Arabidopsis thaliana: one gene and its partners. The protein of the gene in region 1 interacts with the protein of each later gene in a pairwise test. Each region holds a gene or a part of one and is shown in the gene's direction. Other genes may lie near its edges.

Region 1 (7,897 bases):
GAAGTATTGTGGTGTGTAGTTTCTTCTCCTGTCTTAGTAATATTCATCAAGTAGAAATTTTAAGCTCTTGCGGTGAAACTTGAATGATGTTTGCTTCATTCCATGCTTCCTTGATCAAAATTATTCCATGGTTTTGACTTATGAGAAACGTAAATTAAATATTTGGAAACATGCGAAAATTTAAAAACCAATTAATATGCCATATAAGATAATACAGTAAAATATTAAAATATTTGACACATGTTACAATCAAATTGATCATCACACGTATCATGATGATAATGATGTTAGTCGTTTAATTGTTTTTATAATTTTCCTCTTCATAAGTAAAAAACCTAAAATATATTTAACACATGTGAATGTCTGATTGATTGACTACACATATATCAGTTGCGTTAATTACGATATGAACTTGTGTCAAATACTTCTTCAACCCTTACACAAAACCCTAATTAAAATAAAACCGAACATACACGTGTTCTTCTAGCTTTCCCTTGCGTTTTTGGTTTTCAAGCTCTAAGGTATTTAACAAGATTTCCTTTTTCTGGTTAGTTTCCTTTTCCTTAGTTAGTTTGGATTTGTGTTTACCACTCCTAAGAGATGTATTAAAAGTTGTCTTCTACAAATAGATCTATCCATCGTTGTTTAAGAGATATCAGACTTGTGTTTTGAGATTTAAAAAGTTGGCGTTTAAACACTCTTTTTTTTTTTTACTTTTTTTGGTACGGAAGTCTTATAAAAGTTTCGAACAAACTCTTCTGCCTTCATCAGTCGAGGATGTTTTAAAATTGTTTGATTAATGAAAATATGATAATATTTTTACTATTGATATCTAGGTGACATGGTGGGAGCCTTAGAAGCTTTGATATCTCAAGGTCATGGAGGGGAGAGAGTGGCTAAGAGACAACGCTCGGCGACATTGCTAGATCTTGATATCCTCGATTGTCCTATTTGCTGTGAAGGATTGACGTGTCCTATCTTCCAGGTTTTGTTTCTTGTCTAAAAATTGTTTTTTTCCAGCTTTTAATACATATTTTTTTTCTTGAAATTTTTACAGTGTTTTTTTTTTTGTATGTCAGTGTGAGAATGGACATTTAGCATGCTCTTCTTGCTGTCCCAAACTGAGGAACAAATGCCCTGCTTGTGCTTTCTTTATCAGCCAATGGAGAATATTCTTGAATCGATATTGGTCACATGCCCAAACGACATGTTTGGTTGCACCGAGAGTTTCTTATATGGGAAAAAATCAACTCATGAAGAAGAATGCATTTTCTCTCTATGCTCATGCCCTTCATTGGACTGTGAGTACTCCGGCCGATACGAGGATCTCTATGATCACTATAAACTGACTCACATCTCGAACTCATACTGGACCACTAACTGCTTTAGATCTAGCATTCCATATAAGGCCCCGATGCTTATCAGCGATAAGATACAAATTACAAGGGTATATGAGAAGAAAATATTGTTTGCAGTGCAGTGTTTTAGGGAGTCGTGTGGTGTGTATGTAACCGTAAGCTGCATTGCACCATCTGCTCCAGAAGTTGGACAGTTCTCATATCAAATCTCCTACACTGTGGATGAACACACTATGGTTTACAGATCACCACAAATGAAGAGGGTTCGTAAAGTGAGTTTTGAAACACCTCAAGAGAATTTCATGTTGATACCTCACAATTTATTGCGTAGTGAATTGTTGGATATTAAGCTTTCTATCGTCGAAACGTCGAACCAAGAGTAAGAATGTTGAGGTGATATAGAACTAGAAGGAAGGAATGTCATTTTTTTACTCTCTCTATCTCGTCTGACATTTATATAAGTTTTGACGAACTAAGATCCGATGTAATTGCTTAACGGCTTGATTCAGCTTTGATGCAATTTGTTTGGTATTGCTTAACACGTTTTTGTGCATTTAGAGTGATAATGGAAATTTTGATGGAATCGACCAACAAAACATTTCACAGTTTTTTAATCTAATAACTTCTAAGCTATACTTTATGCATGACCAAATTGGAGTAATGCGTGCTCTTTCGTTTGTCATGATTATGGTCTCCATCTTTTATTCTACTCTTAGTCGAAATCTAATTATAAGTAAACGTACGAACGTGTGATGTCTAAAAGCAGAAGAAAAAATTTAGTTGTGAATTGTGATTCAATGATTAAAGAATTCCAATATGGTAGTTTTAACTGCAATTTTACATATTAGTTAAGAATATAAAAGCTAATACCAAAATTCTTAAATCTTTAGCAGAAAAAATAATAGCAAAAGTTAAAATAGAAATTTCCATAAATAGCACCATTTCAAGTTTTTGGAAAAAAATAGCACTCAAACATTTTTTGGACAAAATAGCATTCAAATAATTATTTTATTTTTAATTATTAAAATTAACAATTAAAAAAATTCAAAAAGTACACAAATTCATCATTTGGGTGAATGCTCTATGAATATGCTAACACAAACTTTTTTTTTATTAGCAATCTGCTACTTCTGCATAGTAATTGACCCTATTCAAAAAAAATGAACTATATAACTCATAAATTGTTAATTCTGCAAACGATATGGTTATTGAAATTATATTGGTTTAAGCATATACTAACCTATATATCTGTTAATTCTGTGAATCAACCGCCGATTTTTTCCTTGCGTTTCCAATAATATTTTCCTCAAGGTTTGAATTACTAGCTTACATTGTATAGCACTCCATTATCTTCATCATGTAGATATCGGACTCTTTAATCTTAGCAGTCTACCACCAAAAATCAAAAGAATTTTTAAACATTTAATTTGAAAATTACTTGAGGAATAGAGGTCAACACTATGATATATTAAATTTAGAAATTACCTGAAGAAAAGAGGTCAGGACTCTGATACTGAATGGAGTGACATCTATGTCGTGGAATCTTTCAAAGAATCATTTCCTGAATTTAAGAAAGATTCTACAAAATTCAGGAAGAGTTTTAGGAAAGATTTTTTTGTGAAATCTTTTATGAATTCCGTGAAATCCTTCCCAAATTTCGTATAATAATCTTTCCTAAATTTTTTTTATGGGAAACATTTGACGGATTTTTTTTTGTGAGAAAATTTTGACAAAAATCTTTGGCGAGAAATATTTAATTTTATTTATTTAATTAAATTAGTTATTTATATTAAATATTTAATAATTAATTAAAGTTTTGAGTGTAATTTTGGAACTATTCAAATGAGCTGCTATTTTTGAAGAAATTGTTTTTTTTTGCTATTTTTATCAATCTTCCAAGGTAAAATTAGTCTAGTGGTTTGTGATTGCCCCAAATCCCAACTTCAAAACCACATTTTTGACAAAAAAATAAATAAAAGCTACATAACTTTTAAAAATAAAAATTAGCTTATTAATTAATGTAGCAAAAAATACATAAACTATTAAGACTAAATAAATAATTATTATTGTATTTTGTAAAATTTAGACATTGTTTCTGTTATATATTATATGGGCCTTAATTGGGAATTGAAGAATTAAAAAATACATAAACTTTAAGACTAATATTAATTTTTAAATGGTTTTATATATATAATTATATTCTTTTATATTGTAAATATTAATAGACTTAAAAATTAGATATTGTTTATAAGTTTATCAAAAAAAGGTATTGTTTATATATTATATGGGCCTTAATTGGGAATTGAAGAACTATCGAAGCCCATATCATCTATAGTTTGTGCCATTGTCTCCTTTCTCTGTAAAACCATCCATCAATGAACAAAATCAACTAAATTCTCTATTTGCCTCTCTCAGTTTTCGAGAAGACTAAAAGCGAATTTAGGGTTTAGTCATCTCTCCGACATGGTTGGTGCCGCGATTTTGGAATCTCCCGGCGAAGGAATTGGATCTAACAGCATTCTCTCGCAAAAGAGACAACTTTCTTCTAGTGATGCAGCTAAGAGAGACGCTAAGAAACGCTCGACAATGCTAATGGATCTGGAGATTCTCGATTGTCCCATTTGCTACGAAGCTTTCACAATTCCCATCTTCCAGGTTTCGTAATTTCTCAAATTGAATCATTTCGTATTTTTCAGAAAGTTTCTGTTTTGGTTAGAACTCTGAACATAGTTGGAACTGTGGCCATTTACTTGATTCTAAGAGTAGCCTTAGCTTTTGAGGATTCTAGTGAACTTTTGAAAGTTATGTTAAAGAAATTGCAGAGAGAAGAAGTTGGAATTGTGCCCATTTACTAGTTACTAGATTTCAAGAGTGTCCTTAAGCTTTAGCTTGTGATGATTTTATAGAATTCTAGTGAACTTTAGTAAGTTATGTTCATGTATGCAGTTGTATATAGTTATTGAAAATATGTGTATAACTTGTCTATATCATGAATTATATGGGAGAATCATTTGGGGAGAGAACTATTATCCTTGGTCGATTCGATGAATATTATCTCGACGTTGTTATAGCTTTTGATCACAAGTTATTGGTTTTGAATTTCAGTGTGATAATGGACATTTGGCTTGTTCTTCTTGCTGTCCCAAACTAAATAACAAATGCCCTGCGTGTACTTCGCCTGTTGGCCACAATCGCTGCAGAGCAATGGAGAGTGTTCTTGAATCGATCTTGATCCCGTGTCCGAACGCCAAGTTAGGTTGCAAAAAGAATGTATCTTATGGGAAAGAGTTAACTCATGAAAAGGAATGCATGTTCTCTCATTGCGCCTGCCCTGCATTGGATTGCAATTACACTAGCTCATACAAGGATCTGTACACTCACTATCGTATTACCCATATGGAAATAAACCAGATTAATACGTTCATTTGTGACATTCCCTTAAGTGTCCGGATGAACATCAGCAAAAAGATATTGATTAGAACGGAACACTTGACGAATCATTTGTTTGCAGTGCAGTGTTTCAGGGAGCCGTATGGTGTGTATGTAACTGTAAGCTGCATTGCGCCATCTTCTCCAGAATTAAGTCAGTACTCATATGCTCTCTCTTACACTGTCGATGGACACACTGTGATTTACCAATCACCAGAGGTGAAGAGGGTTCTTAAGTTGAGTTTTCAAACCCCGCAAGAGAATTTCATGTTGATTCCCAACAGTTTATTGCGTGGTGATGTGTTGGAAATGAGGATTAGCGTCAAGAAGTTGAACAAAGAGTAAGAAGGTTGGGGTCTTCCTGTTAGAAAACTCTTATCTGTCTCGTTTTAGTTATCTTAACCCGCCCATAGTCGTTATGGTTGATGAGGGTTGTAATTTTAGAGACTTGGTGCAATCGACCAACAAAACGTTTCACAATGTTTTCAATCTAAACTAAGATATAATTTATGCATAGGCCATTTGCTATGAAGCATTGACGATTCCTGTCTTCCAAGAAGATTTTTCCATCTTTCTGATTCTTATTTCTTGATAACTAAAATTCTTCCAGGTTTTGGTGTTTCTTGTTATAAACTCTGTATTAGGAACAACGAAGTTGGAAACTTGCCCTTTTACTAGATTCTAAAAGTTACAAAAACTAGTTTTGTTTTGAGGATTTGAGGATTCTAGCGAAGTTCTACAAAATATGTTCAGTTTTGGAGTTGTAGTTCTTGAAAAGTGTGTATAATTTAGCAAGATCAAGTATATATCATGAATTATAAAAAAGGTTAGTTAAATATATATATATATGGAGGATGATATAATTAAGAAAGTATACATGGACATATAATTATATCCCATAGGACAGAAAAAAAGAGGTTGAAGAGGGAGATCGTCCTCACCAGAATCCATGGTTAGGGCCTCACCAGAAGAGGTTGGGTTGTCTGTTTGTGTTAATGTGTATACCAAATTCGGTTTTCCACCAATTTCCTCCTTACAAAATACACCCATTGAACTCATGGCTGCTAATATGGAGATTTGGATCGATTTTTGTGATATTCTTCTTCTCCTTCTCCCCTTGCATATATATATTAGCCAGCCATTTAATATAAAAACTTGTGAATACAACTAAGCTTTCTTTTGTTTTAGTTGAAAGCTTTTTTATATTCTTTGTTATAAAAAAGTCGTTCATTATTTTTTTTTTCTTTTTGTTTTTTTGTTAAAGAAAGTCGTTCATTATTGATTTCGGAGAGCTGTTCAATTATCAAGACTTCGGATTTTCCGGATCTTGTTTCTAACGATTGGAAGTTTGAAGAAGCAAGACTTCGAATCCCATCTAGGAACAAGAACATATCGTGACTTCACGTTGGACAACTGTAAAATAATAGTGTACAATACAATACATGATAGTATTTGTTATTACTTTAAAATTAAACAAGGAAAATACGACAAGTCTACAACGCAGATTAAGTTAAATATTTTTCTTTTTCTGCTAGTGATATGATTCTTCTCTCCAAAAGTATATCTCTCACACAAAACTTGCTTAGGTCTAAACAATAATCTTAAAATATTTACATGTATATATTTTTGCTAAGGTTTTTGACCAAAAATCCCTCACCTATTTACTATTTTCAATATTAGTCCTTACAAATTTAATCTCAATCAAATACTTTATAACTAAAAACTTACAATTAGTTGAATTGCATTAATTAGTTGAATCAACTCTTCCTAATTTTTTATCCTTAACTAAATTTTTTTTTATTGAACTATATTCGATTAAGGCTAATTTCCTAAAATCTATATATCAACATTAAATATAAATATATAATTTTTCTGTCATTATCTTTGTTTTTATATATAGCTATTTTAGTTTATATATAAAATACATATATTTAATAAAATATTAGATTTTTTTGCATCCGATAAAATTCAAATTTTTTAAAACAGACATATAATACTCCATCGATAAAAAAAAAAGTTTTAAAGGTCCCACATTGCTTAAAAATTTGGGACATCGTTAAGAGTCATACTATAAAAAATATTTAAGTGATTCTGAATACGAATGAGAAGGAACCTTGATATATCAAACATCCAAAATTAAAAGTATTGTTCGGTTTACTCCGGTTCTTTATTTTAAATAAGTAAAAGTTTTAAAGTTTTAAAATATTATATATATTTAAAATTTATTAAAAGTTAAGTATTACAATTTCTTAAGAAAATTTAAAAGTTAATAACTATAAAATAAATTTAATATTAATGATTTAAAAATTTTAAAATTTTATGAAGTTGTAAATTTTGTAAATATTTGAACTTTATAAGAAGTTAAAATATTATAAATACTAAAAATATATTAATATTGAACGATATATTACGGGTGAAATCCTATATGTAACAATCAATATACAATTATGAAGTTTGGTCCATATTAAAACTTTTTTGAAGTTTCTAATATTATAATTATTCGAACTTCATAAAAAAATGATAAAATGATGTTTAATTTCACGGGACGAGGTTATATGGTGGGATAGGTTTGGATCGATATTAATACGGAATGATACAATTATACAATTTTAAACACTAAAAAAAAATAGTTATAAAAATCATACAGAGGTGTATCATACTATCATACATAAAAGACAATAGCATGTATCTATAGATCATCCTAAAAACAATAATAATATTTTTAATTTAATAAAAATATAGACGTTTGATGTACCTCTTGAATATGTTATATATATAAACAATATTAATAAAAATAAAATATCTAATTTTCTAAGAAATATTTCAACCCTGGATGTACCGCGGGTCAATCTCTAAATAATACAAGTTAAAAAATAATAATAATAATAATACAAGTTTTAAATCTTTATTACCTCTAAAAAACCCAAACCATAAAAATAAATATTGAATTTTCATAATTAACTAACAAATATGAGAACATAAAAATGAATTATCGAAGCTTTACATAAATAAAAATTATGTGTTAAGAATATATTATTTATATACAATTAATAATTTTTAAAAAAATTATCTATAATTTTTTAATGAACATATCCACCCGTGGTACCGCG
Region 2 (7,990 bases), on another chromosome or scaffold:
GATGTTAGCTCGAGTGAGCATGTACTTTGAGCTGTGATTCTATACTTATGTATCGGTGACTACTGATTCTCAACATTTTGTTTCAATTTGAAATCAGAAATGTGAGGTTGGGATTTGGTTTTAGTGGAACTTCGGTTTCAACGGAATCTTTATTAGGTTATCGAGCTTTGTTTTATATGAAGATATAATCATGAGATTGATTACTTTTTTTTTTTTTGTGTGTGTGTGTGTGTGTATTTTGCAGTTCCAACTTTGCTCTTCGGTCGTACTTATACATTCTATTCCATGAATTGGCTGGACGGCCTGCTTCTTGGTGGTTTGGTGATGACAAGGTAAGCAATGCATACTTACTGATGTACATTCTAATCGGTATAGATATAACTGCATGTTTCTTATCCAGTTTACGTCTATCTTTTGGATAGGTTAGAGTTTTCTATGCAGTGAGACTCTTTCTCGGACTGGTTTCTGCAGTTTCAGATACTGTCCTGGTTGTTGCGCTCTCCAGAAAGTATGGGAAACGTATCGCTACCTATGCAGTTGCGATGCTCTGCTTAACCAGTGGCTGCTTCTTTGCTAGTACCAGTGAGTGTTTTGTTTTGTTTTGATTTGTTGTTACACTTGCTTAAGCTTTCTGTCATATTTCCTTAATATGCATATATAGGCTTTCCAAGTTATTCTTGCATCCGATAGGTTTTAGTTTCAAATGCTTGTATAAGTTATTCCAAAGACATTGCTCTGAATTTGGCTTTGTGTTCTGGTTTCTTACTAATTCATGTTTCTCTAAAATTTTGATAGGTTTCCTCCCCAGTTCATTTTCTATGTACGCCATAAGCCTCTCATCTGGTTTATTACTTTTCGAGAAGTATGCCATGGCTGTTGCAGTTTCGGTTGTCGGGGTGATTCTTGGCTGGCCATTTTCTATCTTGGCCTTTTTACCTGTCGTTATTTACTCTCTGGTTAAGAGATTCAAGCAAGCATTTATCGCTGGTGCAGTCACCACTATATTTCTCCTTGTAAGCTAACACCAATCCTAGATGCTTTGTCTGTGTGAATTTTATGGGAATTATTGGATCTCGCTGACTTTCATTAGCACCTGTAACTTTAAATTACTATTTTCTCTTCTAATTAGTTTTGTCTCTTTTCTAGGGAGTCTCACTACTTGTGGATTACTATTATTACAAGAGATGGACATCATCAGTTTTGAATCTCTTGATATACAATGTGTTAGGGGGTGGAGAGAGCCATCTCTATGGGACTGAAGGAGCGTTATTTTATATAAGAAATGGATTTAACAACTTCAACTTCTGTTTCATTTTGGCAATGTTGTTTGTCGCAATATATCCTGTTATCAGAAGGAAGTATGACCGTGCCCTGCTGGTTGTGATTTCCCCGATGTATATTTGGCTGGCGTTCATGTCACTTCAGCCCCACAAAGAAGAAAGGTGATTTTCTAAGATCTTTCATCTTGTAATTTTTTGAGCATTCGTATGGTGGCTTCTATATCGTTGAGGAAACCAGTTTTATGATACTTTTACAAAATCACGGTATTCAACAAACAATGTTTTTGATTGTCAATTAATTGACTGCAGGTTCCTTTATCCTATATACCCTCTTATTTGTGTCTCTGCTTCTGCTGTTATTGAGAACATCCCTGAGCTGTTCCGGGAAAAGTATAGCTCACGTGAAAGTCTTCTGGTGACAGTAAGTTCCAACTTACAATATCTCAGTCTCTGATTTATACCTTTCCGCAAATTGAAAAGAAGTAGATTGTACGATTCTCACATATCTGTTTAATACGCAGATAACCAAATACATGCGACCTGTGATTCTTGGTTGTATCTTATGTGCTTCACATTCTCGCACATTTGCTCTTATTAATGGCTATTCCGCTCCCTTGGAGGTCTACAAACTACTGGAGCATCATGATGATGCAGGACCAGGTATATCCAATTCGAACTGAACTTCTTGATCATTATAATGCTAAGACGAGTGAAGATCACATCTCACTTTTACTTCAAGAATAGTAATTTGCCATTGGAAAAAGGGTAACAAAGTCCTTTTGACAAAAGTTTTCTAATCACTGATGACTTCTTGGTTGGTTTTGTATGTCAGGTTCTGTTCTATGTGTGGGAAGTGAATGGCATCGATACCCATCATCGTTTTTTGTGCCCCACTACATTAGCGAAGTACGGTGGATCGATGATGGATTCCGCGGTCTTCTTCCATTCCCATTTAACAATACACTTGGAGGCACTTCAGCATCACCTCCATACTTCAACAACAAGAACCAAGCATCCGAAGAACAATATGTAATACTCACACACTCTTCTCTCATGAAACCTTCAAAATATCTCTAAACATAAACTTAATCATGGCTTGTTTACTCGTTCCATTTTTTCCAGTTAAAGAACATCGAAACTTGTACATTCCTCATTGAGTTGCAGCTTAGCAGACCGTATCAGTATCGAGGCAGCGACTTATCTACATGGGAGGTATAGGAATCAAACCATCTTCCTGAAACAGAATCCATCTTTGATTTCACTTCACTTCTTCAATTGGTTGTTTTGACCCTTTTTTCAGGCTATTGCGGTGTTGCCTTATTTGGACAGAGAGCTGTCGCCAGCTAAGTATAGATCGTTCTTCATCCCGCACATGTGGCAGGAGAAAAATGTGTTTGGCAAATACGTAGCACTGAGAAGAGTCCCAAAATGATCACAAATCGTTAAAACTCCTTAGACTTGTAGCTTTAACTCAGTTCATTGGGTAGTTTTGGGAGAATGTAATAACTAATAACTGATTAGTATCGGCTTTAAGTTCAGGTACGTTCACGGTTCGTAGTTGTGTTGTTGTGAAAGAGACTAGTTTTAACTTTGTAAGAAATCTCCAAATGGTCAGAAGAACGTGGAAGATTATGTTTATGACATTATTGTGCAAAGTCTATATTCTTTTTGTCTTTTGATATTGCGGATTCCAATTTTGGCTATCGAGAAAAAGGGAGAAAATGAGAAGACTATGGAGGGCACTTCATAATTCATATTTCTGTCCTCTTTAAGTTAGCGTTTGACCAACGCGTCGTAAAAAGGTACAGAAGAAGAACGCAATAGAATTGAAGATAATGAACTAAAAAAGTTGTGTATATATATTGTAAAAGATTATCTTTGAAGAAAAGAATAACCTAAACAAGGTATTAATTTTTCTAAAAATTTGATCGAGTCATCGAGATCATGGTAGGTATATTGACGTTTGTAATAATGTTGTCACTATGTTACCACCAGACTAATAAATAGTGCATGTCGTTTACAAAACTAAGAAAAGATTATTTTCTTAGTAGTTTTCAATCATGGTTAAAAAAGTATTTGAATATGGAAATTATTCTTAAAAAAATTGAATATGAATATGGAAGAGAACTTACAGAAAATTATTTACTAAATGTATTCCTTACATATTTCATGTAATTATATATTTTTACTAGCATAAAAGCATCAATTTATTTCCGTAAAGGAAAAAAAGAAAGAATTAAAAGGATCAAAGGGGCACGAAACTAGAGACGACGAAGCGTACTCGATTATTATCAGCCTTTGGTAGCTTCGTTCTCTCTCAAAAACCCTAACTTCTCTGTGACGATCGAATCCGATAGCGTGCGATAATGGCCAATAGTAATCTTCCCCGACGAATCATCAAGGTTAGTTTTCCGATCCTCTGTAGCATCCTCCGATCCGTATCTCCCCTCAGTTTCATTTTGGGGAATTCTAATCTGAAATCCGAAGAAGGAACCGACGGATTATATACCTCAGCAGAACTGGGAAGAATTTTCGATAGCTTGTACGATCTTATATCATCTTCGTCATCTTGATCTGACTTTTTTTTGTTCTTCGATCTGATAGGAAACTCAACGTCTGCTTAGTGAACCTGGTAATTTCATCACTTCATTCGATCCTTGTTGATTTCTCACAGTTGATTTTAGCTCAAACAGTTGGTTTTGGTAGCTGGAACTATTGATTTTAATTCTAAGTTGTATATCTTTCGAAATTGCAGCTCCTGGGATAAGTGCGTCTCCATCAGAGGAAAATATGAGATATTTCAATGTTATGATTCTTGGTCCTACTCAATCTCCTTATGAAGGTAGTCAAATTGTTTTAATCTCCCAAAGATGCTCATCGTTACTTCTTCCTTTTTCTTCTTTAATGCATGCTGCTCAACGATTTATCGTTATCGTTTCTGCTGCAAGTAGTGACTCTGCTCTGTCTCTATATTTGTTTATACAAACGGATATGTTCGTTTAGGTACTACTAGGTCTCATAGATTGCTCATGTTCGGATTGTAGTGTTATGAATAACGATGAGTCTTTAAGCTACCTTTGAGTTCATTTCGACACATTTTATTTGTTCTAGAATACACAATGCCAAGTCGAATTTCCAGAATCAAGTCTGCTGTTTTATCTATCATCATATTTCTGTTAATTGATGTTTACCAATAATTTTGTTTCCTTCTCAATCTGTAGGAGGAGTTTTCAAGTTGGAGCTCTTTTTGCCTGAAGAATATCCTATGGCAGCTCCCAAGGTAAGTTGCTTCAACTTTTGTGTGTTTTTCTTCTTTCATTTCATGTTTCACTTGTTTTGGTAACATTAGGATTACCCCACATAACATTGTTAAGTGGAGGTAAATGCTCTTTAAGTGAATGTCTCTCTACTCTTAACACTAGGATTTTATTTATGGGTTTATGAGATTGGTGATTTTGGTTTTGTTATGACTACTCCGAATGTATTTTCTTATATTATATTAGACAACGTATCCAAGTTTCTTCATTGATGTAGAGTTTATGGGTCTTATTGATGATATCATTTGAAACACAGGTTAGGTTTCTCACCAAGATTTACCATCCTAACATCGACAAGGTCTGTTGTGAAAAATTTCCTTTTCTTCTCTTACTGTCAAGATAACTAACCAAACACATGGTCTTTTATACTTATGGATCATGTTTTGTTTGCACTTATCATGTATATATAGCTTGGAAGAATCTGCCTTGACATACTGAAAGACAAGTGGAGTCCTGCACTACAAATACGAACTGTGCTCTTGAGGTATGAATATATCCATAGAATCTTCTTTCCCTACTAAATCCAAAATATTGTAGAAATTAAGATTTAATTATTCACACTTTCTGATTTTCCATTGCCGTGTAAAAACAGTATCCAAGCTCTTTTAAGTGCACCAAACCCAGATGATCCTCTGTCTGAGAACATAGCTAAGCATTGGAAGAGCAATGAGGCAGAAGCTGTGGAAACAGGTGATAAAATACGATCGAAAAACTCAAAAAAGTTGCAACAAAAACTTTATTCCTCTCCTCTCTAATCTGGTAATCTCATATCAATGTGAACTTATGCAGCTAAGGAATGGACTCGTCTTTACGCAAGTGGTGCTTAAAGAAGACTGCAAATGGAGAAAGATCATTGTCATTTAAATAACATTATATATGGTGAAACTCTATCTCAAGGTTTTATCTGAATCCTTTTTCTGAAAACAGAGGAAAAAGATTTGTACTCTCTGAATTTGTATAACTAGGGGGATCTAAGACTCGTTTACCCATATCTGGAATCTAACTTTCTTCAATTGTGCTTGCTTTTGATCTTTGTTTTTGTTATATATGCTCTATAATAATCTTTATAAAGTGGTGTAGATAATCAGATTTTCACAGGTTGTGAATCAAAGTAAATTGGATGAATGATGCATAATGTTACTATTACAGGTGTATGAAGCAGCTTATTTTGGTCAAATGTAAAAAAAAAAAAAAGTGGTAAAAATAGTAGTCACGAGGAATGAGACTTGAGATTTTGAAAAATGGGCATAATCAGAAACTTGACTCGTCAGTTGATGGACGCCTCAAGAAGTACCTCAGACTATTAGCAAGGACCTACAAATACAAAATTTGATTTCATTTCAGTAAAAACATTTCAACTTATCAAAGAGAAAAGTCTAATTTCAGAATTTTAACCTGCTGGAGAGGCTTGATTAGGGCTTTGTTCCTGTAGCTTACATGAAACTTCACCTTAGCCAACAAACCCTTTTTGTTTCACATACAACAAGAAGAAGCAACATGAGAAACAGAGCGATATTATAGCGGAGGGTATATGTTTTAGACATTAAAAAACAGGATTATTAGATACCTCGGTGTCGAATTCTCCAGATTCAACAGCGACGCTGATATCTGAAATGATCTTCACCAGCTCAACTAATAGTCCAGGTCTATCCGCTGATTCTATGAAGAGTAAACTGCATCATCAACAAATAATTATGGATCAATGATCAGATCATATATCATAAGAATAAAAGCATTTGGATAAGGTTCTAGAGTTGAGATAAGGTATGGGTATACATTACCTGCGGTCTGGTCCATCATCTTCAATGGTTATATGTGTTGCTATGTCCACGTCAATCTGTCAACATCCCAATCCAAAATACAGAAGAAGGAAAATGAATTTTGAAGCTACTTTGAAGTTGCGTGGGTATTCCCTTCTTCATCAAAGTGATTAATACTATAATGAAGTTTAATACTTGTACTCTACATTGACCCGCCAAATCCAAATATGTTGATTATTAGTTAAGTCTTTGTTTTCTCTATTATTGTTTCTTATCTGTACGTGACCGAGGAAACGACAAGCAGTCTTGACCTTTATGTTCGAGGATGCTAACTACTTGAAGAATTAGTGCAATACAAAAGAAGTGGATAAGGTTATAAAAAGAGCATCACAGTTTAAGGTTTTTACCGGTTCAGTTGGAGGAAGAACACCAAAAGCTGCTCCCATTGCCAACTGAGAACTTGATTCCTGATCCAAATCATCGAGAAGCAATGTGTGAGTTAAAAAATTATGCAAGATATAGGAAAAATAGAAAGAGAGGATATTAGGATGTGAAGTAGTTACAGGATGAAACTCAAGCAGATTGTTTATGACTGTGAGACGAATGGCCTCAAGCAATTCAGGGTCTTCTACTTTTCTTCCACTATCTCTGTTGTAACAACAATTACAGTCAGCTCAAAACTCAATCTAAAGTCAACTATTTGACAGAGTCAATCGATTCAAAGCAACATTAACTATCTAAACGACTCTTGGAGCTCAAAATACTCTTTGATGATATGAAAAGACATACGCTCTAGTAATGGCAAATTTGTTGTGCTTGCCGGAAGAATCAAGGTAAACATTTGCCTTGACGACATTCAATCCCAAGTTTTTGAGCGCATTCATCTAGAAGGGCAAAGTTGATCAGATCAAGAAGCAGTCAAAAAAGCAGGAAAGGAAGTAAGAAGCTTTTGTGAATGTTGGTCGATTATGCAGAGCTAGCAACAAGTGAGTAAGAAGAAGGTATCCTTCCTTACAGTGTCAAGTAAAGCTCCAAGACGATCTCCGAATGTAACTTCAAGAACGGTTGCATCAGGGTCAGAATCTTGGTCGATTATAACAACTGGAGTTGGAACTTTATCAGAATCAGCAGCACTTCCTTCTTGCTTTCCATTCTTCAAAATCAAAAACAAAAACATATAAACTTTAAAAAGTCTATTCAAATTACTAGTGTCCTTGTGTAATCATTTCATTTTCATACCTCCACAGCAGTAGCATTTGATGCTCTAATCTTCAAAGTGGATAATCTGAAGAAAAAAAAAAAAAAGAATTGAATTGAAGTATTTGAATCCGTAGAAGATCAGCTCAAAACAATCTGTGCTTTGAATCGAATTCCAGCAAAAGATACGAATTTATAACCAGCAATAAAATCATTTGGACATTTTAAAAAGATTAGCAACTCGGAACACAAAATTCTGATAATCGTTAAAAAAAGGTATCAGATGCTTTTTAAGGATTTAGAGATCTGTGGAGAAAATTCACTACAAAAGAATTTGTTTCGGAAACAGTATTTACTTCATGAAACTCGAATCAGCACAAAACTAAGATCACAATCGAAAAAGCAATCCAAAAGAAGCTCGAATTCAAATTCTCAA
Region 3 (6,803 bases), on another chromosome or scaffold:
AGATGATTGATTGTTTTGTGTGTTTGCTTTCAGGTAAGAAAGGGTACGAGGTTCTGATTCAAGGAGGTGTGATTGATAACCTTGCGAGATATATGGTGGAACACTATGGAGTTCCAAAGAGATACATCGAAGTTCTTGATAAGACTAGAAAGTGAATGGTTTTTTCTATTTCATTTTTTTTTTGTGTGTTTTAATCTTCTAATTTTATTTGATACGTACACTCTGTGACTCTAGAGATGTGGAACAAATGAGAATAAAATTGTTTTGTTATTAGTTTTTTTTTTAATATAACAAAAAAATTAAAGAAAATAATTTATAGTTTGATGGACTTTCTCTCTTTTGTGCAGTTGAGAAAATAAAAGGACTTTCTCTCTCTTCTCTCTCTAGATCTTTTAGAGAGAGGAAGTTTCTGATGCTCAAACTTGGCTCCGACAATAGCCAGCTTTTTTAGTGGTGTTGGTTGGCTTCCTTCTGGCGTCGTTAGCTCCTTTAGCAACGTCGGCTAGCTTTTCTCCGACATCGGTGGTTTCTTTAGCACCGTTGGTCGGCTTCGTTCTTCAAATTTAGTTTTTGCCTTTCAACCTTGTTCGATTCTATTTTGCTTCGGTTTTAATTGGTTTTGATTTCTCTTTCTCTTCATTTCGATCTAAATTTGTAATTTTTCGATCCTCCCTTCTTTAAGGGGCTTAATTTGTTCTTCAAGCTTATTGAGTTTTCATTTTAAAAGATCAAATTTTTAGTTACGGATTGAAGTTTAATTTAGTGTCTTTTGTTTGATTTTGATGAAATTAGAGCTGTTGTTTGTCTTTCTTGTTGCCGATGCTTGTTGAATCGTTTGGGTTTATGTTGTTTTTCCTTTAAATGGCAGAAGTCGAAGTCGATAGTTTGTGAGCTATTTCTTTCTTGAAGGTTTTAAATTTTACAGTCATTGTCACAGAAGATTTGTCAATTGTCTCATCGGATTTGTAGCTGCTTCCGATTTGGCGTTTACAGCAATTCCGGTGAACTTAAGTTTTTTGTGGTTATGATTCTCCACCTGCGACATTCTGCAACTCATCATTTTCTGTTTCCACGTGTCCTCTTTACCGTGTCTCTAGTGCCATGTGGGCTTTGACTTATTAGCACATTAGCTTTCTCTTCTTCAGAAGGTGGTCTTTGGGCTTTTGTCCGTTTATGGCCTGTTATATGGCTTTGTAAAATATGGCTTGTTAAAAGGCTTTGTAATATAAATAATAAAACAGTTGTGACAAAAAAAAAAAAATATATAGTTTGATGGTGATTGGTGAACTTCTTTTTTTTCCAAGATTGCAGTAAACGTCGTCTTTAGCTCCAAAAACAACCTTTGTCTTGTTCAGCTAATGGCGATTTTTGAATGGCGGCACAGAAGACGGCCATTCGACGGCGGAGGAACTCGTCGCCGTCGTTTCTTCAGCCCATTGTATTCGAGAAATTTCAAGAGAACGATTCTCTTCGCTGTGATTTTCTTAGCTATCTTCCCTCCTCTCTACTTCCATTTCAAGCTCCGACGAATTCGTCAGATTGTCGCGCAAAAGTGCGATTGGCTTCACCATCCTCCACTTGTCTGTGCTCACGGCGGCGATTCCACCCTCGCTTTCCCAAACACTGTACGTACACTCTCGATCTCTTCTTCTTCACACTCTTGCTACTAACCTTTTTAAACCTTAATCTCTTGGACTCTTCTCAATCGTAGATGGACGCTTACAGTTTCGCTATACGTTCTCGAGTTGATTGCATTGAAGTCGATGTTTCTCGTTCCTCCGATGGTGTTTTATTCGCTCTTCACAACAGGTTACAGACTCTGATCCTTGTTGTATCATCTTCTTCTAATGTTTCTGTGTTTGGATTCTCATCGGTGTTCTTCTTATTCATCTTCTGATCACACGCACAGTCAGGGATCTGCAGCGTATTGCTCGTAACTCTTCTGTTCAAGTTGGAGATCTGAGTATGAAACAGGTCTCATCTCTCCCTCTCTCTCTTTACCAGCTTTTGGGATATGCTTTTTTGCATCCATTTTTCATAAACCTTTTGATGATCTTTTTGCAGATCAAGGAACTCGATGTCTCGGAGATTGTTAAAGGAACCTTGGGAAGTAGTAGGATTCCTACTCTTGAAGAGGCTTTAGCGGTAATGCCTGTTTTTTTAATTACTATCTTGTCATTGCTTTGCTTTGTAATTTCTGCTTAGTAACAAGTGGCTGAAGCTAGTTTTGATCTTGAATCATCTAGTTGATATCGAATTCAGTCCGGAAAGTGATCCTTGATGCCAAAGTTGGACCGCCAATGTATGAAAAGGGGTTAGCACAAGACATCCTTTCTATTGTAAGTACTATGTTTTTGTTAGCTCTTGTACTTGTAAAGCTTTAGTACAATGTGCTCGAGATTTATAAACATGTTTTGATTCCTTAATAGCGTTGCTTAATCATTTATTTCCTGGTATCTTTGTACACAAAGCTAGAACAGCTTACTATAGATACTTGAAAAAACAAGAGTATGGATAAATTGTTGATGTTTCAATGGTGGTATTTCTGGCTTTGCTCACATGAATCGCCAATCCTCTGTTGTTAGATTGAGAGAGCGCAGTGCAATAATTGCATCGTATGGGCCAAAAGCGACACTTTGGCTAGGGACATAATTAGACGAGCACCAGATACTATGGTAAACAGAAATGGATTGTCTTGTGAGGATCAGATAGAGAAGTTTCTTGCTCATTTCCTAGTGATTTTGGCAGGTGGGATACATTGTGATGGTAGATCCTTTGACTGGGGCGAGAAACAGCCTGCTGAGAATGAAGGGAGCTAGGGTTGTGGGAGTTTATCATCCCTTGATCGATGAAGAATTAGTTAGAGTTGTCCGTCGGTAAGCAATCGATTTCAATGTTTTCAAATAAAAACACACCTGCTCATGTGTTTACAACCTTGCTCGATCTGATCAACAGGAGAAACAAAGAGGTGTATGCATGGACTGTGGATGATGCTGATCCCATGAAAAGGATGCTTCACTTAGGTGTGGATGCTGTTGTGACGAGCGATCCATCTATGTTTCAGGGTCTCATGGAAGATCTTAGAACTGAGTGTCTTGAAGAAGGTTTTTCAATACGGACGTGAGAATTTCTTTTTCGAGCATTCTTAATGACTGTAATACCAACTCAGAAGTTTTTGGCAAAGATCTTTCTTTATGTTGTTTTGCTGATCCACAAGTTTTTGACAACTACACACTACGACGCCTTGATACACAGTAAGACGAGTCTTTCTCAAGAAAAGCAAAGTATGGCCGGTTCTTGATGAAGCCATTGCTTCTATCGATACAGCTACTGATAATCTGATCCAGGAGACTCTGAGGCAACACTTTTCGGACTGCACAGTGAAAACAATCTCACACAGATATCTTCTTTTATACATAACGATATGAGCCTGCTCCTAGAACAAGGTCTAATACACTTGTATTTAAGTTTAAATAATCAGATGACTGATATTAAGTCTGTTTATATAATATGGATAGAGAACGATATGATAAGGTGATTGAAGCATGTTCTTTGAGTAAAGATCTGGAGATACTTTCATTCGGTGATCAGACCGTCATTGGAGAACGCGGCATCAATTTGAGTGGTGGACAAAAGCAAAGAATACATATTGCACGCGCTCTCTACCAAGATGCGGACATCTATCTGTTTGATGATCCTTTTAGTGCTGTCGATGCACACACAGGGTCACATCTCTTTAAGGTACAATCTTCTTACTTAGCCATTAGTGTGATTGTGATTTCTCCTTCCGTAAACAATCATGTATCAAATTTATTTTCATTCTCATACTTTTTTCAGGAAGCTCTACGAGGGCTTTTATGTTCTAAATCGGTTATATATGTAACCCATCAAGTTGAGTTCTTACCTTCTGCTGATCTTACACTGGTATGTGAATAGTTCACTGTCTTTTATCATTTTCTACAGCACTGAGAATATGAAATCATCCATAACCGATTTTCTTATGCCTCAGGTCATGAAAGATGGGAGAATCAGCCAAGCTGGAAAATATAATGATATCCTCATCTCTGGAACAGATTTCAGGGAGCTTATAGGTGCGCATCAAGAGTCTCTGGCAGTAGTTGGGTCGGCTGATGCCAGTTCTGTTTCTGAAAACTCAGCTTTAGACGAAGAAAATGGTGTTGTGAGAGATGATATTGGTTTCGACGGGAAACAAGAAAGTCAAGATCTGAAGAACGATAAATTAGATTCTGGGGAGCCCCAAAGACAATTTGTTCAAGAGGAAGAGAGGGCGAAAGGTAGCGTCGCTTTGGATGTATACTGGAAATATATCACACTGGCATACGGAGGAGCTCTTGTGCCTTTCATATTGTTGGGGCAAATTCTCTTTCAGCTTCTACAGATTGGAAGTAACTACTGGATGGCTTGGGCTACTCCTATTTCTGAGGATGTGCAAGCTCCTGTGAAACTTTCTACGTTAATGGTTGTGTATGTTGCTTTGGCATTTGGAAGTTCCCTCTGCATTCTTGTTAGAGCCACGCTTCTTGTCACGGCTGGTTACAAGACTGCTACTGAACTGTTTCATAAAATGCATCACTGCATTTTCCGTTCTCCAATGTCTTTTAAAATTGCAAAAACTTGTTCAAAAACTTGTATATATTCATCATAACTATATCCAAATATGTATTATATTGACAGAAAGAAAGAAAACAAGAGAAAATAAAACATAAAAATAATCCATAATGTCAAATAAAGAAATTACAATATACTTAAAATAAATAAATATCTAAACATCTTTTTTTTAAAAATATTCTTTTTAACTTACATATAATATTGTTAAAAATTGAAAGTATAATTAACAACATCAAAGCATCAAATTTGAAGGAGAAATCATTGTTGGCAAATACGAAATCGTTCTTTGTCTAAAAAAAGAAACTTGATCTTGACGATTTCTGATATTTGAAAAATAGGCAGCCGCTAGACCAAGCATCCAAAACTTTTCATGTAATTGGTTGGTTCTTATAACGTCAATCTTAATAGAATATATTTTCTCCCATTTTTCGGTAGGATATTCTTGGTGTAAACTCCAAACGACCAAATTTGAACTTTCTAGCACATCCGATAGGCACAAACGTTCATTCAGATTCCACATTTCTATATTAGTAGCATATTTGGTGTCACACTCTGGTAATAATATCCATCGAAATTCTTCAGTGTGAAGATCGATAGCTAATAGCTGGTAAGATGTTTGACTAAGCTTCTTTAATGTCAACCAAAAGAGGGATCCGTTGGCGTAGACTGATGTTTGCTCATCGCAGAAGATACAATGATGTATGTCATAAAACCCTACGTCTCTTTGCTCACCATTATCAAGGGATAGGACCTTGGCCTTGAACTCATGATCATGTATTTCATATCTTGTATATATCAAAACCACCTTATAAGATTTTTTAACAATATCTTTGCCAAATCCAGCAAGAGACGGCATTCTCTTCACTAATCCACCTTGACGAAAAATTTTTTTTTGATAAATAGGTATATAACATATTACTATGTGAAAGTTAAAATTCAACTCTATAATCAACCATAGAACAAGAAAGTTGACAAACCAGATATGTCATAATCCAATACTGATTGAGAAAGTTGTCTCCATGGTTTATTGGCCATTGCGGGGGTTAAGTAACTAAGAGTAAATGGCCATTGCATAAATTCGGGAGAAAGTTTCATGTGTTCTTTAGTCGTCGGATTGATCAAGTAAATGGACCTGAAATCGTCATGGATCCGAAGCAAGACCAATCCATCACAAGACCCCAATACTTGAATAGTTTTATTTTGAGATTCGTCGACTGGATCACCAGAAAAAGTGTAGTAACTAGAAGAAGAAAGACAAGTTTTTCTGTTGTTTTGATCATCTCTAGAAAAAGTCTCCAAAAGAAAAGTTATTGAGTTTGAATATTCTTCAACAAAATTCGCTGTAAAGTGTTGACTAATATGAAGAAATTTCATATTAGGGGTTGGTAAGCCTGTACGAATGAGTCGTTTGTGGGAAAAGTAGGTTGATTCGATCATCGATGTCCATTTTTTTGATAAGACTTTGAATCTAGCCAGTGATTTTATTGGAAGATGGTGAAAGATCCCTTCAGCTATATCATCTGGTATAAATATTGTCTTGGGATTATTATGTTTATCATTCTCCATTCTTTTCCTACGATGATGATTCTTGGAGTAGATTTGTGTATCTCTATATATAAAGAAAATAATGATCTAATGTTGGATTTTTAACTTTAGATTTAACATTAACTGTGGCGAAAAATATATAACACTATTAATTTATATTAGAATAATAAAGAGCAAATAAATAAACATGTATTTGTTTATGCTATAAATAATAAATGTTGATTAATATATGTTTATATTATTCCTAAAAATAATGAAAATAAATTAAGACAATTTATGATTAAATATGCTTTCATTTAATTTTCTTTAGCAATTAATCCCTTAGAATTAATTCTTTGATAGATTTTAAAATTTCATCTACAAATTCTTGAAAAAGGTTTGGTATCTACTTTTTTAATCCTAATTAACTAGATTAGAACATGTCCGATGTGCAATAGACCGTGGTATATAACGATGCATGTATCATCCATTCTTTAACAATTAATCACCTTCAACAATGCAACACTCTAAAGTCTTAACACTCTAAAAAAGATTTAACACTAATAATTTAGTTTACAATTATGAATTAGAAATAATAAATATGTATAATAGGCTATAAATATATATAATATAATCTTACAATAATTTAA
Region 4 (7,361 bases), on another chromosome or scaffold:
GTCCTCGTGAGGTCTGTATTTTAGTTATTGGCCTCTTGTATTAAATTCTAGTAACTGTTTGTTTCATTTTTTTTAATTTGTTACTCTTTCGTTTGCTATTCAAAGTTCTAAAATTCAAACGTTATCCCTCTAGCTTCTCAAATAATATATATAGGAGATTTTATATAATTATGAAAATTCTACTTCAAATGACGGTTTAAAACGCAAGTTACAAACGTCTGTTTAATTGATCATAATAAACATTTTGAGAGTACTAATCAATAAATCATACTCATATCCAGTTACTTTCCATTGTTCAAATGAAAATCAATGGCTATCTTGATCGTAACAATTTAGAAAAATGAAAGTTATGCAAATATGTGAAACATTAAAAGTACAGTAATAAAGTTTATTGTACCATAACCTTTCGTCCAAATAATTTCCTGTTTTAAAATAAAAAGACAGGAAATTAAAGTCAAGTAATTTAACTACCATCATTAGATTAATCAAAGGAAATGTTTTTTTTAAAAACATTAATGGATATCCTTTTATTCTTCTAAATTATTGCTAAACATTTTGTGATAATTTTTACAATGACTAGTGAATCTGGTAGTTAGAAACATCTTAATGGTTTTCACCTTTGAATATCCAATTTAACTACCAGCAAGCACTACTTACATACATCTATCTACATCTTTCATTCTTTTATATTGTCAAAATTTGTCACCACCAAAAACATTGATTTATATTCAAAATTTGGAAAGTAACTCAAAGTAGTTGAGTTTTGTGGGTACCTTCAGAATGTCCATTTGATTATCAATCAAAAAGAAGTTTTTAGCTGGCGCATGAAACCGTCGTTGGAAACTTTGAAACGGATGCTTCACTGTATAAACGTACTATTATTATTTAATTTTTAATAACGAAAAGTAAATTGTAGATGAATTCTTTTTATTTGATTCATTTTTAGTTAGTGCTAGCCATTATTTCTATCTTTAACTATATTCAAAATTGTTTTTTCATACTATAAACTATTATTAGACCATTTTCTTGAATGAACCATACTTTCTAGACACTATTTCTAAAATGACTATAAATCACACCATGTAGTTCTATATTTGTATTATTGTAGTTTATTGATTTAACATTGAAAATTTAATAAATTATACAATTAAAAAATTAATAGGTTTTAATACGTGTAAAATTATAAAACAAAATTTATAATGAAACAGAGAGAATAGTAAAAACATTTATGAGAAAAATATGTATTGGTGTCACTAAAGTTATTTTAGACATATTTTCATTCAAGAAATCAGTTGAATAATAGTCTTACTGTGACAAACAATTTAATAGATAAAACATTGAGTAGTATTAACTAATAAATGAATCAAACAAACAAAGTCTAATTGATAAAATACGCCATATAAATAAACTATAAGTTTCTTTAAAATATACATTAAATATACAAAACGACAAATTTATGAAACAAAAAAGTGAAGTCATAAGATTAAAACTATTGTGAAATGGATGACAAATTCAGTTTCTTCTTTATTCTTTAAACCCTAAGTTTAAATTCTTTCAAACACAAATCGTAGTATTTGTAAAACTGTTATTTTCTTGAAATATAATTTAACGTTACATTAACAAATCAAATGGATGACATATTACTTAAAATTTAGATTACCAATAAAAAATCATAAATTCTTCTTTTAAATTGTAAGATTTAAGTCTTCCCCTTTACATTTAGCAATAAATAGTTTGCTGCACTGGTTTAAATGCACTAATGCATTGTTTACTGAATTGTCTTTTGTTTCATATATTTGTCTCTACTATACTTTTACTAACTTTCCCACCTCCAATTAAAAAAATTATTACGAAATAAACAAAGTCATATCTCTCTCCACAACATAATTACTTTATTCAACAAATATTAATTCCTAGTCATATTTTAGCTCCTCTTCTTCCTTATATATTACATACATACATTTTCTTTAGAAGTCATTACCATCAACCCATCCCCTAGAAAAACACAGAGAAAAACAAATACAAGAATACAAAAACCCTCTCGACGAAACCGAAGTATCGAAATGAGAAACAAGAATGGTAAAAGAGGTAGCGTTGAGCCCTCGGCGAGGACCGTGGCGTCGGTGGTTGCTAATGGGAGGTTTGAAGGAAGATCACCATCGAGCGACACATCATCATCACAAAACTCGTGCCTGACGAGGACGGAGGAAGTGAAGGAGGAGGTTGCATCGTCGTGGGTTGATGAAGAAGAGGCGCCGGAGATGGTGGTGATGGGATGTCGAAGTTGTATGATGTATGTTATGGTCTTACAAGAACGTCAACGTTGCCCCAAGTGCAAATGCACCGACTTGATCTTCTTTTAGAGAATTTGTTTTAAGTTATTATTCAATTTGGACTTTTGAGTTTGAGATGATGAATTTAATTTTCTTTGTAAAGTCCTCTATATAAATCATATTGTTTAAATTATAATCTCTATTTTAATATGTTAAATTGACAGACAGATCATTTCTGTTTGTGGCCGTCCCTCTTGGTTCATTTTGTTAAGTTGTCCATTTTCATGTTTTAGTACTATGGAAGCCAATGACATGAACGAGGATGGATTTTCATCGGAGTTGAATTCGATTGTTTCAAACGCTAGTTATGGCGTTTGCGTTTATATTTATTTATTTGTATACTCCAGAGAAACATAGTTTTTCAATGTAAATGAAAAACGCCAAAAAAAATAGAAAGTTTATTTTTAAAAATTACAAAATATAAATTTAAACACAAGTAAAAAAATCGACACGTCTCGAATTAGGGTCTTAAGAATCAAATTGGTAGTATGCTAATAATGGTATTGCTTTGGTTTCATCGGCATTCAATCCGATGAAATTTTCAATAATTAAGGTTAAAAGTTGTATCTTCATCAATTAAAACGTTATTTATTCAAAACAATTCACCATCAAATTCAATAAAATTTAAGAACTTTTACAAACTTCAAATATTAAATTATTTAAGAAAATATTTTTAAACCTAAATTTAGTGAAAAAGTAGCAACTAAAATTTGTTTTAATGTATTTTATGACATTTTTCTATTTATAAGTACTAAATTTTCAAAAATCTAATAAATAATTAATTTCTGTTTTTCATATATATTAAGGCACATGCGACGACATATATACGTGACAACATTTTATCCTAAAGTTTTAACATGATTTTTGAAAAAGAAATTTACATTTTACGATAATTTAGTTGCAAATCAAGCGAGTTTTAATATTTCAATAATTTTCATGTATATAGAAATTTTGCATTGCTAGTTAAAATAATAACAAATAGATGTTGTCAAAACTCGAAAATAAAAGGGGTGTTTCTGTAGTTATCATAATTTAAGGAATTATATGATAGAAAAACAAATTTGGGCGGTAAATTTGAAAAAAATAACTTTTTCCAGTCTCCCCAAAAGTACCCGATTTGCCAAATTTGACCCTCCCATTTTAGCTTTCTGTCTATTCACCAGATTCTCTCTATTCGATTCTCCCTTTACTTCTTCTCGTCTCTCTTCTCTGCTCGTCAGATCTCAAAATCAATCGGATATCGAAACCACAACTTCATCAATTATGACTCTTGGCTCAGGAGGATCTAGCGTTGTTGGTATAAAATTTCGATTCTTTCGGGTTTGTTCTCGTTTTTTGATTTTGATTCTAGGGTTTTGGAATAATCCCTCGTTTGTTTTTTTTTCTCTAGGGTTTTGGTGAATTCTTCTTTTGGTTTTATTCGTTTTGATCAATAGGTGTTGAGATTTCTCATAGGTTCTATCGATCTAGTATAAAAAATTGTAGCTTTGTCTAAATTGTTCGCATATAGCTTGATCTGAATCAATCAATTTTAACAAATCGCTGAGAATGATTTGCTGATGTCTCAATTCCTGAGATGGGTTTAAAATGCTATTCCTGAGTTTCTTATTGTTTCTAAGACCTTAGCTAGGAATGTTTTCATCTTCTCTATAGCTCATTGTTAACTTTGTTGAGTGTTATCTTATTTTAGTCTTTGTGGATAATGATTAATATGATATGTTCTGTTCTCTGCTTTGATTAAAAAAAGTGATTGCTTGTTTTCATTTACTGATATGAATTGTTTTTGTTACGCTTGTTATTGCAATATAGTTCCGAGGAATTTTCGGTTGTTGGAGGAGCTTGAACGTGGGGAGAAAGGTATTGGGGATGGAACTGTGAGCTATGGAATGGATGATGGAGATGACATCTATATGCGTTCTTGGACTGGCACCATCATCGGTCCTCACAACGTAGTTATATCTTTTTCTTTATCTGCTAACATTCTCCTTCGTCTTCATATATGTTAACAATTGTTTTGAGAAGCATAGATTAATATTATTTGCATCTCATTGCTTGGAATACAGAACATCAAAACCACATTGTTTTCTAGGCATTGATCTTATCGACATACAATCTCTTAAGCTTTATTTGAGCAGATTATGCCATTGTTGCTTTTGCTTGTAGTAACAGAGATAAATTTTATGTCACAGACTGTTCATGAAGGTAGAATCTATCAGTTGAAGCTCTTTTGTGACAAAGATTACCCGGAGAAACCTCCAACTGTCCGATTCCATTCACGTGTCAACATGGCTTGTGTCAACCACGAAACAGGAGTGGTACGTATAAACTCACCACCGCCCTTCCTTTCTCTGTTTTGTTTCTTTGGATGCTCTGTAATTTTTTTATGCGTATGTGTATAGGTGGATCCTAAGAAATTTGGGCTACTTGCAAACTGGCAAAGAGAGTACACAATGGAGGATATACTGGTACAGTTGAAGAAGGAAATGTCTACGTCGCATAACCGTAAGCTTGTTCAACCTCCGGAAGGTACTTGCTTCTAGTTACTTCTGGAATCTTCTTCTGGTTTGCTAGAAAATCATTGCCCCTTCTAATACCAAAGTATGTATCTGGGGGTCCTCCATTGTCGTTCTCAACGCTTTTTTTTTTTTAATTCATCAAAAAATGGTCTGTGTGGATGGTATGGTGATGATGATGATGTTGTCCGATTGATCATCTGAAGTTTTATCATTGTGTGCAAATATCAAAAACAGCTTCTCTTCCTCACTCCATGTGTTCAATCTTTTGAATTTAACATTTTGTGTCAGCCCTTTTTTTATATATAAATGAAATCTGCTATATTTAATTGGTTATTTGTTATGTAATACACCAAGGTTAAAACAAGAAAGTATCATAAAAAATCATGAATCTTTGTAATCCGAACTAATGGAAAAAGAAGCCATGAACAGCTTCGTAACCCTTATTTTTGTTTCTGTGATTCATCTAAAGCCAATGCTTACGGTGATTAATAGAACCTTTGAAAACTAAGTGTTACTTTTTTCTACAATTAGCACACTTCTTATTGATGATGATGCACGTCGATTTGCATGTACTTCTTGATGTTCCGCGTCGTCGTTCTTGACATAGAAACAATCATTCTTCGACATGTAGACTTCTACTTTTAGGACACTGTTTAACTTGCTTGTAAGTTGATTACGAGTGGTCTTAACCATAAACGGACTCCATGAAAGTTGATTACGAGTGGTCTTGGAAAATCAACTTATTAAATAAATGAAAAAAGTGGTTGAACGTAATTAAACCTATAACACATTTACACATTGCTCAGAAGCTCAATTAATTTATGTTTCATCAGATTTCAAGCCCAAACATTAACACTCATGGTTGGATTGATCCAGCCTGGATCTTATGGTGATAAATGTTATCTCTGTAGTTTTTTTTTCTTTTTTTCCTTTTTATTGTAAAATTTCGTTTTTAGAATGGAGAAGAAGAAAATAATTTTTCTTTCACAATATACTTATATGATATAGTTAGAGATTATAAAATGCGTTTAGTATAGATATATTTGACATTCGGTTGCATGATGACAAAATAAACAATAAATAAATGTGGTGGTGTCCTAATTAAGAACTTTGGATCCAAACAACAACTTATAAGTGGGTGAAATAATTATATACATATAGTCGAAAGCAAGTACATTTTAATTTACTATAATAGAAACATTACATATTTACATGTACATTAGCAACATATAGAAATATGCTTAAATTGATATTGGAAAATTAGATTCCACGAAATGTAGTGCTATGTGAAAACTTGCGTTTCAAACTTTGCATTATGTTTAGGATATATACGCATAATCACAAGCCAGTTTTCTTAAGTGAAGTTGTCAACTAATAAATATGGTGACACCGTGAAATTAAAAGTGGAAGATATATTGTTACATCCATATTTTAACATTTGAGTGTCGAGTAGCTTTAAAGGAACATTAAAAAGAATATAAATTGTGATAGGTACGGTTATTATTATGTTTACCAGAATTAGACGGACCGCAGACGAATGGGACAAATTGTTGTTATGGTTGATAGATAAATATGTACGACCAAACTTATAAGTAAAATTATGGATCAGCATGTAATACGGTCAATGATGTTTTCTAAACCCTTGTTTACTTTTAATCAAAGTTATACTTTTAGGTTCAACAATAAATACTAAGTTTCTCATTTTGTATTTATACTCCCCTAAGTATATTTCTCATTTTGAATCCACCCAAAAAATAAAACGATAGCAAACAACAAAGGTGGAAAAATTATGAAAGTCCCATTTTTAAACAAGAGTTTTTCATCTTCATGTTATTCAAATTCAAATTCATCATCATGGGGATGGCCTTCTTGTCACCAAAACCCTAGAACTCAATCTTTCAGAATCACCATCAGCACAATCAACCCTTATGACGCCGAAGATGAAGAGGAGGAGGAGGATAAGGAAGAGAAGGAGAAGGAAAAAAGGGAGAATGAAAAGGAAGAGGAGGAGGAGGAAAATTCGCTTCCTGGCATCATGATTCCTACATCATCATCCTCCATCTCATCCACCATCGACACCATAGAAGAGGTGCCGGAGACCGAGTCCATAGAGAATGTGATCAAAGGGATAAAATCATCAGAAAGACTCATCTTTGAACGTAAAGGAGAATCAAACTCTATTCTTGAAGAGATGAGGAACAAGGATTCATGCACTTGTCCTTGGAATCCATCCACACTTTCTCTAATTTCAAGTGGTTCATGGTGGAGGTGGTTGCGGTACACTCGCTTCGCTACATCCAATTGTATCGTGAAAACTACTGAATAGATCATTGATATATATACTCGATAATTTGTGATGAGATAATAAGTAAACATGCACTCGACGGTTGTTCTTGGTTAGAACGCGAGTTACGTCTAGAATGATTGATGCGGACCCAAGAGATCATCATCTTATGTTATGTGGTCAATTCTTGAAATCTTCTTTCTTTCTTTTCCATGCGTGTGACTCATG

Evidence for each region.
Region 2: the proteins of AT5G37890 (region 1) and UBC36 interact in a two-hybrid assay, tested with the Arabidopsis thaliana proteins (one large-scale study listed by BioGRID).
Region 3: the proteins of AT5G37890 (region 1) and NAP5 interact in a protein complementation assay, tested with the Arabidopsis thaliana proteins (one large-scale study listed by BioGRID).
Region 4: the proteins of AT5G37890 (region 1) and UEV1D-4 interact in a two-hybrid assay, tested with the Arabidopsis thaliana proteins (one large-scale study listed by BioGRID).

Annotation. Positions count from the first base shown.
Region 1 is NC_003076.8:15,087,747-15,095,643, reverse strand, and holds AT5G37890 (Protein with RING/U-box and TRAF-like domain), read left to right. Parts: upstream 1-3,688; 5' UTR 3,689-3,821; coding exon 3,822-4,013; intron 4,014-4,463; coding exon 4,464-5,132; 3' UTR 5,133-5,966; downstream 5,967-7,897. Other genes in the region: AT5G37900 (TRAF-like superfamily protein), read left to right, coding at 842-985, 1,160-1,741. UniProt on the Arabidopsis thaliana protein: E3 ubiquitin-protein ligase that mediates ubiquitination and subsequent proteasomal degradation of target proteins.
Region 2 is NC_003070.9:5,773,984-5,781,973, reverse strand, and holds UBC36 (ubiquitin-conjugating enzyme 36), read left to right. Parts: upstream 1-3,489; 5' UTR 3,490-3,646; coding exon 3,647-3,682; exon of another isoform or gene 3,683-3,884; coding exon 3,885-3,939; intron 3,940-4,035; coding exon 4,036-4,122; intron 4,123-4,145; exon of another isoform or gene 4,146-4,501; coding exon 4,502-4,560; exon of another isoform or gene 4,561-4,853; coding exon 4,854-4,895; intron 4,896-5,007; coding exon 5,008-5,081; intron 5,082-5,189; coding exon 5,190-5,287; intron 5,288-5,386; coding exon 5,387-5,424; 3' UTR 5,425-5,797; downstream 5,798-7,990. Other genes in the region: EBS3 (Alg9-like mannosyltransferase family), read left to right, coding at 245-332, 423-582, 796-1,013, 1,147-1,442, 1,590-1,701, 1,802-1,940, 2,113-2,309, 2,403-2,492 and 1 more; ACR11 (uridylyltransferase-like protein), read right to left, coding at 5,849-5,911, 5,993-6,061, 6,165-6,270, 6,379-6,434, 6,765-6,824, 6,921-7,005, 7,147-7,241, 7,373-7,510 and 1 more. UniProt on the Arabidopsis thaliana protein: Catalyzes the synthesis of non-canonical poly-ubiquitin chains that are linked through 'Lys-63'. This type of poly-ubiquitination does not lead to protein degradation by the proteasome. Mediates transcriptional activation of target genes.
Region 3 is NC_003070.9:26,881,877-26,888,679, reverse strand, and holds NAP5 (non-intrinsic ABC protein 5), read left to right. Parts: upstream 1-3,510; coding exon 3,511-3,741; intron 3,742-3,837; coding exon 3,838-3,924; intron 3,925-4,009; coding exon 4,010-4,666; downstream 4,667-6,803. Other genes in the region: AT1G71350 (eukaryotic translation initiation factor SUI1 family protein), read left to right, coding at 34-155; GDPD4 (PLC-like phosphodiesterases superfamily protein), read left to right, coding at 1,359-1,625, 1,712-1,809, 1,914-1,974, 2,065-2,145, 2,247-2,339, 2,586-2,675, 2,749-2,876, 2,956-3,124; AT1G71320 (F-box family protein), read right to left, coding at 4,862-5,493, 5,607-5,843, 5,886-6,195.
Region 4 is NC_003074.8:19,492,190-19,499,550, reverse strand, and holds UEV1D-4 (ubiquitin E2 variant 1D-4), read left to right. Parts: upstream 1-3,455; 5' UTR 3,456-3,596; coding exon 3,597-3,630; exon of another isoform or gene 3,631-3,653; intron 3,654-4,142; coding exon 4,143-4,282; coding exon of another isoform or gene 4,283-4,285; intron 4,286-4,468; coding exon 4,469-4,648; intron 4,649-4,732; coding exon 4,733-4,873; 3' UTR 4,874-5,174; downstream 5,175-7,361. Other genes in the region: AT3G52561 (uncharacterized protein), read left to right, coding at 2,064-2,363; AT3G52550 (transcription repressor OFP15-like protein), read left to right, coding at 6,639-7,175. UniProt on the Arabidopsis thaliana protein: Has no ubiquitin ligase activity on its own. The heterodimer with UBC catalyzes the synthesis of non-canonical poly-ubiquitin chains that are linked through 'Lys-63'. This type of poly-ubiquitination does not lead to protein degradation by the proteasome.